Linked DNA regions of Rattus norvegicus. The protein of the gene in region 2 purifies or fractionates together with the protein of the main gene of each other region. This does not show direct contact. Links are inferred from orthologs where the notes say so. Each region holds a gene or a part of one and is shown on either strand. Other genes may lie near its edges.

Region 1 (3,494 bases), on a different chromosome or scaffold from region 2:
TTTTTGTTTTTTAAGTCCTAAAAAAAATACATATATATATATATATATATATATATATATATATATTTGTGTGTATATGCATGCACTGATCTTGTGTGGAAATCAGAGAACAAATAGCAGGAACTGGCTCTCTCTTGCTACCTTATGTATGTTTCTAGGTTAAACTCAGATCATAGGGCCTGGCAGAAAATGCCTTTACCCTCAAAGCCACATTGCTGGACTGAAAACTCAGCTTCTGAGCCCCTAATCCAAATGCAGAGAGCATCAGGTGAGGACATGCCCTCCTAGTGCCTCAGCAGCCTGGTCTCTTTGGTGTTAAAAATAGTGATGGCCAGCCTGGGCTATACAGTGAGACCCTGTCTAAAAAAAGTGGGGTGTGTGGGTGTATATGTGCAAACATATTGGTGTACACCTTTAATCCCAGCACTCAGAAGGCAGAGGCAGGTAGATCTCTGAGTTCAAGAGTTCAAGGATAGCCTGATCTACAGAGGGAGTCCCAAGACAGCCAGGGCTACACAGAGAAACCCTCGGAGTGCGATTGAACAGGCAGTCAATGGTACCCACCAACCTCACACATGCAGTCTCCAGCTTTGCTTGGCTTTTCCTGGGTTCACATGGTATTGCTTTCATTTTCGTTTCTGAATACAGGAAGTCCTCAAGGGAAAGTAATAGGGCAGTTCTTAGGGAAAGCCAGTCAACAGCAGCCTTGGCTCTGGGTGGCAGTGACTAGAAAGGTCCCCTGGACATGACTGCATTCTGAATATCACCAACCCAAACCCCAAGTCTGAAATGCTTCAAAAGCTTTTGAACACCATCTGTCGTTCTCAAGTGGACAGTTCCACACCTGACCTCACAAGATGGGTGGCGGGCACATCAAGCCTAGTGCATAAATCTTTGGAGGGCCGATGTGCTCCTGGACTGGTAGAACCCTTCCCCAGCCTGTGCGAAGCCCTGGGTTCCATCCACACCTCACATAAACCAAGTGTGGCTACGCACACCGTTAGTCCCAGCACTGGGTAGGCAAAGGCAGGCAGAGCTGTGAGTTGGAGGCCAGTCTGCTCCGCGTAACAAGTTCCAGGTCAGATACACACACACACGCACAGCCTTCAGGCTGTGTAAGGTCAGTATGAATCAGCATGAATGTATTTTGTTTATTCATTTAGATTTTTGAGACAGCAGGTTGTCATAGCCCAGGCTTTTGTCTGAAACCCAAGATTCTTGTGTGTCAGGTTCCCTGGTGCCGAGAATCGACACGGACCTTGGTGGCTCACTTGAAGTTTATACCATACTCTCATTCCCGAGTTGTCTCCTCATCTCTGCCAAGCCGTAAGGCTCCCTATCATTTTATATTTTATTTTATTAATCTAAAATTTTGATTGTGTTTATTTCGGGGGCAATGTATGTGCCACAGTTCATGCGGAGGTCAGAATACTACTTGCACAAGTTGATTCCTTCCAGCATATGATTCCTGAGGGGGTTAAACAAACAAAACAAGGAAACAAACAAACCCAGTGCCTTTGGGAGCTGGTGAGGGCACTCACTGCCAAGCCAGAAGACCAATCCCAGGGACCACAAGGTGGAAGGCGAGATCCTACCCGTCAGACATGAGCTGTCGCACACCTCCCATACATACCCAATAAACCAATAAATGTAATTTAAATGTAATTAAATGTAATTTAAAGTCCTTTTTTAAGAGAGGGTCTTACTATGTAGAACAAGTGGCCTGGAGCTCACAGACATCTCCTGCCTCTCCCTTCCAAGTGGCCATTAGTCCAATGCTGGGATTAAAGCCAGACTAGGTTCAATTATTTGTTTATTTTGAGACAGGATCTTATTATGTTGTCCTACCTGATCTAGAACTGGCTTATGTAGACCAATCTGGCCTTGAATTCAGACACCCTTGTTCCTCTGCCTTCCGTGGGATAGGGGATTATAGGAGTGTGCCACTACACCTAGCTATATTTTTTTTTTTAAAAATTAAAACCAAAATCAATACAGGCGCCTAAAGATACCACACTGTGTGGCCCGTGTGATGCCAGTGTATGGGTGCTCGGCCAGGAGGGCTTCCTTCTCACCTGAGCTCCCTGCAGGTGGCCAAGCAGGAGGAGTTCTTCAACCTGTCACACTGCCAGCTGGCCACGCTCATCAGCCGCGATGATCTGAACGTGCGCTGCGAGTCCGAGGTGTTCCATGCGTGCATCGACTGGGTCAAATACGACTGCCCGCAGCGGCGCTTCTACGTGCAGGCACTGCTACGGGCCGTGCGCTGCCACGCTCTCACGCCACGCTTCCTGCAGACACAGCTGCAAAAGTGCGAGATCCTGCAGGCCGACGCGCGCTGCAAGGACTACCTGGTGCAGATCTTCCAGGAGCTCACGCTGCACAAGCCCACACAAGCGGTGCCCTGCCGGGCGCCCAAAGTGGGCCGCCTCATCTACACTGCGGGCGGTTACTTCCGACAGTCGCTCAGCTACCTGGAGGCCTACAACCCGAGCAATGGCTCCTGGCTGCGCCTGGCAGACCTACAGGTGCCCCGCAGTGGGCTGGCGGGCTGCGTGGTGGGCGGGCTGCTGTATGCTGTGGGCGGCCGCAACAACTCGCCGGACGGCAACACTGATTCCAGCGCCCTGGACTGCTACAACCCCATGACCAACCAGTGGTCGCCCTGTGCCTCTATGAGCGTGCCGCGCAACCGCATCGGGGTGGGGGTCATAGATGGCCACATCTACGCAGTCGGGGGTTCCCACGGCTGCATCCACCACAGCAGCGTGGAGAGGTGAGCACCGGAGGCCCTAAGGGACAGTACGTGTTCTTGTCCCTGCCTCCACGTGAGGTTGAGCGGCTGGGATGTTTGTCCTCAGTGTCCAGAGTTGGGAAATCCTGGAAGGGGCTTCCTAAACCTATAGGAGTCACAGCACACTGAGGACAGCAGGAGTTACTATAGTATGTGAATTATGTTGTGCTGTTTATAATTAGTTAAAATGTATCATCTGAACAGGGATGTAGTTAAGTGGTAGTGCCCTGGTCTCTTTCTTGAATCCAGGGTTTAAGGTCTCATCCCCAACACTGCCATAAGGAGAGGGAGAAAAAGGAAGGCACAGGCGTGGGGTGTGACTCAGCTGGGGTGTGGTAGTGGACACCAGCTCTCATCCCAGCCCTTGGGAGGTCGAGGGAGCAGGATCGGGAGTCAAGATTCTCTTTGGCTGTATGGCAAGTTCAAGGCCAGCCTGGGATATGAGACCCTGTCTCAAAACAGACAACCCCCTTCTCCCTGTACCCCCTCCCCCCAACACATAAATTTAGGGCTTGGAGCAAGGGTAAGAAAATGAGAAAAGTTTAAATTTTGTGTTTGTAGTGCTGGGAATAGAACCTAGGACTTTGTGCATGCCAGGCCAGCCATTTACCCCCCCCCCTCCCGCCCCCGGGCTAACCCCATCCATAGCCTGAAAATGGACTTTTAAACAAATGCCCTAGGGGCCTCTAATGTTTGTGGT
Region 2 (4,041 bases):
TTCTCTGGGGGGAAATTCCTGTGCGGGCGTGTGTGAGTGTGTGTGTGTGTGTGTGTGTGTGTGTGTGTGTGTGTGTGTGTTCACTTTTTTTCCAATGGGCTAAATAAGAGGAAAGCACAAATGTCTTGTTTAGAATACACCTATTCTAGCCTGGTGGTTTACACCATCCCTTACCAGTGCAACAGCTGGCCAAACTCCGTTGCTGGACTTGCTGACCTGCCTTTTCCAGTCCTAACTTAAAAGGGCATGGCTTTTTAAAATTTCTCCTCCCTTCTCTGGCCAACTGCCAAGATTAGCAGATTACCTACCCTCTCAAACATTAGTAAAATTGTCCCCAAGGTTCCTTTTGAGCCGTTCAAAATGTTTTGATTAAGGAGTCTAAGAATCCCCAATGAGAGAGACCCTAGTAACAAGTAGAAATTACATTCCAGTGGAATGGTGTAATGCATGTAGCACAACCTGCAGGCTGTTTTTCCATACCAAGAAGTCACCTCCAATCCAATCTATATATCTGGAAATTAAATTTAATATTGGATTGAATCTCAGAATAATGTAAACGCTACTGTTACTGCAAGTAGGTACCAGTTTGGTAACACTCTGGCTTTCCTTTGCAAAGGAAGCACAGGTCAGTCTGTTGTCTCATTTCGTTGAGTTGTTCCAGAATATAGGTGGTGTGCCTCCTCTTGCCTCAAAGTTTAGCACTCGCGATCTACTTTCAAAAGGCTTTAAGCTGCATGTCATTTGGTGTTCCGAGGAAGGCTGCCTGAGAGCCTTCCTTTCGCCCATGCATTTTTGCTTAGCCGGGCAGCAAGATCGTGAAGACCAGACCCAAACTCCTTCATCTGAAGAACCGATTCAAGAAGTTGCTGAATGCCACTGGCCCTGCAAGATTCAAGGCAGAGCTCCGTCCCTAGTACGCACTTTGTTTTAGAAACGCGTTATTCCAACCTAGTCTTTTGCCCCGGCTAAGCCGGTCCCGCCGCTGCGTCACACAGCAGGACAGCGGCACAGCCCACAGACCTGCTTCCTAGGTACCCCGCAGCCAGCAACGGTAGTCAGGTTGACAGCGCACTCAATGCGCATGTCTGTAGCCCAGCCCCCGCCTCGCCCTCTCCGGCCACGCCCATGAGGCCGCCGCCGAGGGGCGGGGCGGCCCCGCTTGAATGGGGCGCGCATTCCTGGGGGACCATGTGACGCGGCCGCGCGGCCTGAGGTAAACAAGCGCGGCCCCGCCTCCTCTCATCCGCGCGCTGCACTCCTGCTTGCGGGCGGGCGGCGCTCGGCTGAGCGGGCAGCTTCTCCAACCGTCCCCAGCGGCCGGCGCGGGGCACAGCTGCCGCAGCGTCCTGCGCCCCTGTCCCGGGCCGAGCGCGCGCCCTCCGGTGCCCTCGGACCGCCCGCGCGCTGTGGCGCAGTACGAATTGGGTCGCGGCCCGGGCGCTATTCGCGGCTCCTGACGCGGCGGCCCGCGGCGCTGAGCTCAGCGCTATTCTCGGGCTCCGGGGCACTGCGCCCGAGGGTGTGTCTCCAAGCCGGGCTCGCAGCTATAAGGGGCCGCGGGCGGCCACGGCCATGCAGCTCTACAGCAGCGTGTGCACCCACTACCCTGCGGGCACGCCGGGCCCCACGGCCGCCGCCCCGCCTGCCACCACCGCCGCCTTCAAGGTCTCCTTGCAGTCAGCGGGCCCCGCCGCCGCCGCTCCGGAGCCGGATACCGGAGAGCGCCCACCCGCCGCGGCTACCGAACCACGCGAAGCCGCCGCCGCCGCCGCCATGCCCGCCTTCTCTGCCTGCTTCGAGCGGTCCGGGTCAGCCACCGCCGCCGCCCCACCCGGCGCGTGCTGCAAGCCGCCGCTGCCGCCGCACTTCACGTCTACGGCGCACATCGCCGTGCGGGCCCTGGGCGCCGAGCGCCTCCTGTTGCCGCCACCCTCGGCTCCCGCGCCTCCGCGTCGCGGCTCGTCCGCCTGGCTGCTGGAAGAGCTGCTCCGGCCCGACGAGCCCGCGGCCCCGAACGCCGCCCGCGACGCGCCCGACAGGAACTTCCGACTGAGCGAGCATCGCCAGGCCCTGGCGGCCGCCCAGCACCGAGCCCCTGCACCGGCCCCCGTCGGCCCGGAGCCCGGGGCCGGCCCGTGGAGTGAGGAGCGCCGGACGGAGCGCAGTCCCCGAGGTTGGGACCGGGCGAGCGGTCGCAGCGACGCCTCCGGGGCTGACGCGCACCGACGGCCGGATCCCGAAATTGAGGTTCACCCCGTACCCGCACCCGCACCCGCACCCGCACGGAGCAGCGGCGATCCGACCCAGAACGGTGAAGGCGAAGCTGTAGGCGCGCCCCGGGCGGATCCCAGGGATGAGAAGCTAGCCCTGTACCTGGCCGAGGTGGAGAGGCAGGACAAGTACCTGAGACAGAGGAACAAGTACCGATTCCACATCATCCCTGACGGTAACTGCCTTTACCGAGCTGTCAGCAAGACTGTGTACGGGGACCAGAGCCTGCACCGGGAGCTGAGGGAGCAGACCGTGCACTACATCGCGGACCACCTCGACCACTTCAGCCCCCTCATTGAGGGCGACGTGGGGGAGTTTATTATCGCTGCTGCCCAGGATGGGGCGTGGGCCGGATACCCCGAATTGCTGGCCATGGGGCAGATGCTGAATGTGAATATACACTTAACTACTGGAGGGAGGCTGGAGAGCCCCACCGTGTCTACCATGGTTCACTATCTGGGTCCAGAGGATTCTCTAAGGCCTAGTATTTGGCTTAGTTGGCTCAGCAATGGACACTATGATGCAGTGTTTGACCACTCCTACCCTAACCCAGAGTATGACAATTGGTGCAAGCAAACCCAAATGCAGAGAAAACGCGACGAAGAACTTGCCAAGTCCATGGCCATATCCCTGTCCAAAATGTATATCGAACAGAATGCATGCTCTTGAAAAGTCCGAGGATCTGACAAGCCGGGGGAAATGGCGTGCATCAGTTGTGTTGGGAGAACCACACGAACTCTAACTAGGGTAATGGCACTTTTCAATTTCCTAGTAGACTGGCTTTAGGGGTAATGCCTTAATCAGTTTTTGAATGTCCTCTGAGAGCCGCAGGTTGCTGGGCACCTGAATGATGTTTCCTGATAGCTTTGGGTGAGCCTACTGCTATTTATAATTTGCTGTATAAAGTGAGCGCTACTTAATTTGCAAGCTTATGTCTCACGGTATGAATTTGTTCATTCCTGGTAGTCTATTTTCTATAAAATTGTATTTTTGCACATTTTTAAAAATGGGTGTACTTTCATCTATGACGTGTTCCAATTGCGAGAAACGGCTTTTAAGCATAATCCAGAGAAGTGCTTTCTATGAAGTTTATTTGAGTTTGTGATTTAGTAGTTAGTTTATTGTTGAAATGTTTCACAATTCTTAATTATTTCAACTGGATATTTGACACATTATGTTACCAGATGATTAGCCCATTCCATTTTGATGAAACAGACCGATTTGTTTGGGAGAGTTATTTTTTTAGAAAAGGTCCGCTTTGAAGACAGTTAAGGAAGGGATAGCTTTGGGACGATTTTTTTTTTTTTTTTAAAAAAGACAGTACCAGGCCTTACTTGAATAGAAGTCTGCTATCCGCGGATGGCAGAATGATGATTCTGTCTTCTGCTGTTTATGGAGTAGATTGTCTGGTGGTCTTGACTGTGTTCTTTTTATTCATCAACTTTGGAAAGGCGTTTATGAAATTTTGTGAGAAGTTCAGCCTCCTGCATTATACAGCTTCTTGGTTTCAACCACTATTTTTAGCAGGAGGCTATTGTCTTAATATTCTGTCATTTTAAAGTTCTTCCAAAAGGCAAAATAGAATTGACTTTGTATTATGTAAAAATGTAAACAGTTGTATGGTTTGCTGGGTCAAACAGTGTTTCCAACCAAAAAAACTCCTATATGTTGCCACTTTAACTACTTTTAGTGTATTTATTAAGTAATGCAGTTTGTACTTTTTTATTTTGTAACATTTTGTGATTTTTTTGTACAATAATGTATTTGTAC
Region 3 (3,500 bases), on a different chromosome or scaffold from region 2:
CTGAGCTAGAGCTTCTCCTAGGGCCTAACCTTCAAGGCCAGGACTTGGGCAGAGTCCCCCCCCCCCTTATTTGTCTAAACCTCCTTCAGGGACTACCCCATCCTACCCCACTCCAAGGTTCCCTACCCAGAAGGTAATATCACCCCACTAGCTTCAGCACCAGATAAGCATCAAGGAAAAGAGCCACAGAAAGTGTGCAGACTCTTTAAACAATTAACAGCATCTTCCTTTGGAGAAAACACTATCTATGTTCCATGGGTCCTTCAGTGACCCTTCTCCAAGATTCAAGATGTCCTGGGAAGCAGGCCTTCAGGGCTGCCCTGCAGAGTCACTCCTTCTGCCCATGTGGGAAGGCTCACATATCTCAAGCTCCAACTCCCTGACAACTGTCCGCTCCTTCTGTTTCTCAAGCCCTTTCAAGATCAAAGTGCTTCCGGCCCACGATGCCAGCAAAGTGCGGGCCAGTGGCCCTGGCCTCAATGCCTCCGGCATCCCCGCCAGCCTGCCCGTGGAGTTCACCATTGATGCTCGTGATGCTGGTGAGGGGCTTCTCACAGTCCAGATCCTGGTAAGTCTAGGCACAGCCCCCTGCCCAGCATATATGCCCTCTGTGGACATAGGTAGGCCTGACCTCTCCTTCTCCTCTAGGATCCCGAGGGTAAACCCAAGAAGGCCAACATCCGAGACAATGGGGATGGCACATACACCGTGTCCTACCTGCCAGACATGAGTGGTCGGTACACCATCACCATCAAGTATGGCGGCGATGAGATCCCTTACTCACCCTTCCGTATCCACGCCCTGCCTACAGGGGATGCCAGCAAGTGCCTTGTTACAGGTGAGTACCAACTCTGAGTCCCTTCTCGTCAGCCCCTTAGAGTGCATTCAGTCTCCCAGCCCAGTCCTGGGGCCATGCTGGCAAAAAGTCTATACTCTTTGCCCAGCCCAGCTCCCACCACCTCTAGGTCATCTTGAACCTTAATGACCTAACTTTCTTCTCTATTTCCAGTATCCATTGGAGGCCATGGACTGGGTGAGTAACTTTTTCTTTCTTTACTAAGGGCTGGAGGCTGTGGGAGCAGCCGGGAAAGGGGGAGCTGGACATGGCCTCCACAGCCCCTGATCTGGCTTTTTCATGTGGTAGGTGCCTGCCTGGGTCCCAGAATCCAGATTGGAGAGGAGACTGTGATTACAGTGGATGCCAAGGCAGCAGGCAAGGGGAAGGTGACCTGCACAGTATCCACACCTGACGGGGCAGAGCTCGATGTGGATGTAGTTGAGAACCACGATGGTACCTTTGATATCTACTACACAGCACCTGAGCCGGGCAAATATGTCATCACCATCCGCTTTGGGGGTGAACACATTCCCAACAGCCCCTTCCATGTGCTGGTAAGCTCATGGCCATGGTGCATGTTATGCAGAATATGCCTCTTAGTAGCTGCAAGGGATCCTAGGAGCTGTCCTCAAGGAATCAGAGAATATACCTCTTAGTCGCTGCAAGGGATCCTAGGAGCTGTCCTCAAGGACTCAGAATATGCCTCTCAGTAGCTGCAAGGGATCCTAGGAGCTGTCCTCAAGGAGTCAGAGAACTTGTCCCCATGTCTGATAAACAGATCCTGGAGCCAGAGTACTCTAGAATGAGCCTTTGTATTTCCTGTAGCCTTCCAATGTGCAGGGAGGTGGTGCAGCTCTGCTTTTGACCAGAGAGGTATCATCCCTCTCTGAAGGAGCTCACTGTGTTCTTTTCTGACCTTTGGGCCACTGTCCTTAGCTCTTGTTTCTACAGGGGTGGCCCTGCAGGACAAGGATAGAACACCTGAGATACCCACCCAGGACTTGAGTCCTAGGCCATTCTGAGAGTTGGTTCTGAGATCTAGGTCCCCCCACATTGTACACCCTGTGCCTTATTCCCCAGGCATGTGACCCGCTGCCTCATGTGGAGGAGCCTGCGGAAGTGCTGCAGCTGCACCAGCCATATGCCCCACTTCGGCCTGGCACCTGCCCCACACACTGGGTACTAGAGCTTCCCACGACAGGCCTCGTCATCCTTCTCCCTACTTTCTTCATTCTTCCTTCTGTTCTGCAGGCTTGGGCCATGGTTGGGCCTCTTGGGGAATGCAGGCATTAGGATGGGCAGAGGGAGCCCAAATCTGAGTATGGCACCCCTTCTCCTGCAGCTGACGCATCTTCTGCCATTGGTGTCTCACTATTAACCTTGTTCTTTCTTCGTTCTCTCTGACTTCAGTCTTGAGGCAGGCCACACTCCCCGGCGTTCTCCACCGACTACAGCCTTCTCTTTCCTCTCACCTGCTACAGGCCACAGAGGAGCCCGTGGTTCCTGTGGAGCCTTTGGAGTCCATGCTGAGGCCTTTCAACTTGGTCATCCCATTCACTGTGCAGAAAGGGGAGCTGACAGGTAATGGGTGCACCACACGTGAGACTCTGTTGAGAACTGAGAACGCTTCCTGGCCTTTCAGCTAAGATCATTGCAGGGATGAGACCTAGGGCCCAGAGAGGGGAAACAAATTAGGTTGCGTCTCACAAGTTGGGCAGAATGAGAACTCAAGTTCAAGCCTTCTGTCTCCTAGTCCTTCTATTCCTGAATGGGCTGCTTCCCAGTGTCTGGCCTCTGGGGAAAGCAGAGCCACTTGAGAACAGGCCCTGGGACATCAGGGACATGTGTTGGGAGAAACTAGTGTCCTACCTACATGTAAGTATGTCTGCCTTTCAGGGGAGGTCCGGATGCCCTCTGGTAAAACAGCACGTCCCAACATCACTGACAACAAGGACGGTACCATCACAGTGAGATACGCACCTACAGAGAAAGGCCTGCACCAGATGGGAATCAAGTACGATGGCAACCATATCCCTGGTGAGTTGGGAGCAGGGTGAGACCACGGTAAGAGGAGCCAACACCATGTTGGTCCTGCCAGCCTCCTTTAAATACATATGTAAGCACTGCCATGTACAGGCACCAAAGAAGGTTCTGGGAAATGTGTTTCTTGATGGTAATGGGCTTCTAAGTCCATGTAGCAGAGGCACGGGGCTCCAAAATCCAAAGCTGTTGAAGATGCTGGGGGCCAACATGGCTGTGGGAAGCCCCTGTCCCTATGCTAATCCAGCTCCACCTGTCACTACCCAGGGAGCCCTCTGCAGTTCTATGTGGATGCCATCAACAGCGGGCATGTCAGTGCCTATGGGCCAGGTCTGAGCCATGGCATGGTCAACAAGCCTGCCACCTTCACAATTGTCACCAAAGACGCTGGGGAAGGTGAGGAGAACTGCCGAAAGAGGTGAGGGGACTTGCCAGGTTTGTAGGCACAGGGATAGATTCTGATCTCAGCCACTTTCGCTTACAGGGGGGCTGTCACTGGCTGTGGAGGGCCCATCCAAGGCGGAGATCACCTGCAAGGACAACAAAGATGGCACCTGTACCGTGTCCTACCTACCCACAGCACCTGGAGACTACAGCATCATTGTGCGCTTTGACGACAAGC

What was found.
Region 1: the proteins of Otud1 (region 2) and Keap1 purify together in Homo sapiens (affinity purification with western blotting; 3 studies listed by BioGRID, with this or other methods). This does not show direct contact. The link is inferred for Rattus norvegicus from reciprocal best matches to the Homo sapiens genes OTUD1 and KEAP1.
Region 3: the proteins of Otud1 (region 2) and Flnc purify together in Homo sapiens (affinity purification with mass spectrometry; 3 studies listed by BioGRID and IntAct, with this or other methods). This does not show direct contact. The link is inferred for Rattus norvegicus from reciprocal best matches to the Homo sapiens genes OTUD1 and FLNC.

Annotation. Positions count from the first base shown.
Region 1 is NC_086026.1:28,047,549-28,051,042, reverse strand, and holds part of Keap1 (kelch-like ECH-associated protein 1), read left to right. Parts: intron 1-2,090; coding exon of another isoform or gene 2,091-2,102; coding exon 2,103-2,776; intron 2,777-3,494. UniProt on the Homo sapiens protein: Substrate-specific adapter of a BCR (BTB-CUL3-RBX1) E3 ubiquitin ligase complex that regulates the response to oxidative stress by targeting NFE2L2/NRF2 for ubiquitination.
Region 2 is NC_086035.1:87,167,007-87,171,047, forward strand, and holds the start of Otud1 (OTU domain-containing protein 1), read left to right. Parts: upstream 1-1,241; 5' UTR 1,242-1,572; coding exon 1,573-2,940; 3' UTR 2,941-4,041. UniProt on the Homo sapiens protein: Deubiquitinating enzyme that specifically hydrolyzes 'Lys-63'-linked polyubiquitin to monoubiquitin.
Region 3 is NC_086022.1:59,016,547-59,020,046, forward strand, and holds part of Flnc (filamin-C), read left to right. Parts: intron 1-411; coding exon 412-568; intron 569-648; coding exon 649-838; intron 839-1,009; coding exon 1,010-1,033; intron 1,034-1,144; coding exon 1,145-1,392; intron 1,393-1,918; coding exon 1,919-2,017; intron 2,018-2,319; coding exon 2,320-2,419; intron 2,420-2,734; coding exon 2,735-2,875; intron 2,876-3,145; coding exon 3,146-3,274; intron 3,275-3,362; coding exon 3,363-3,500.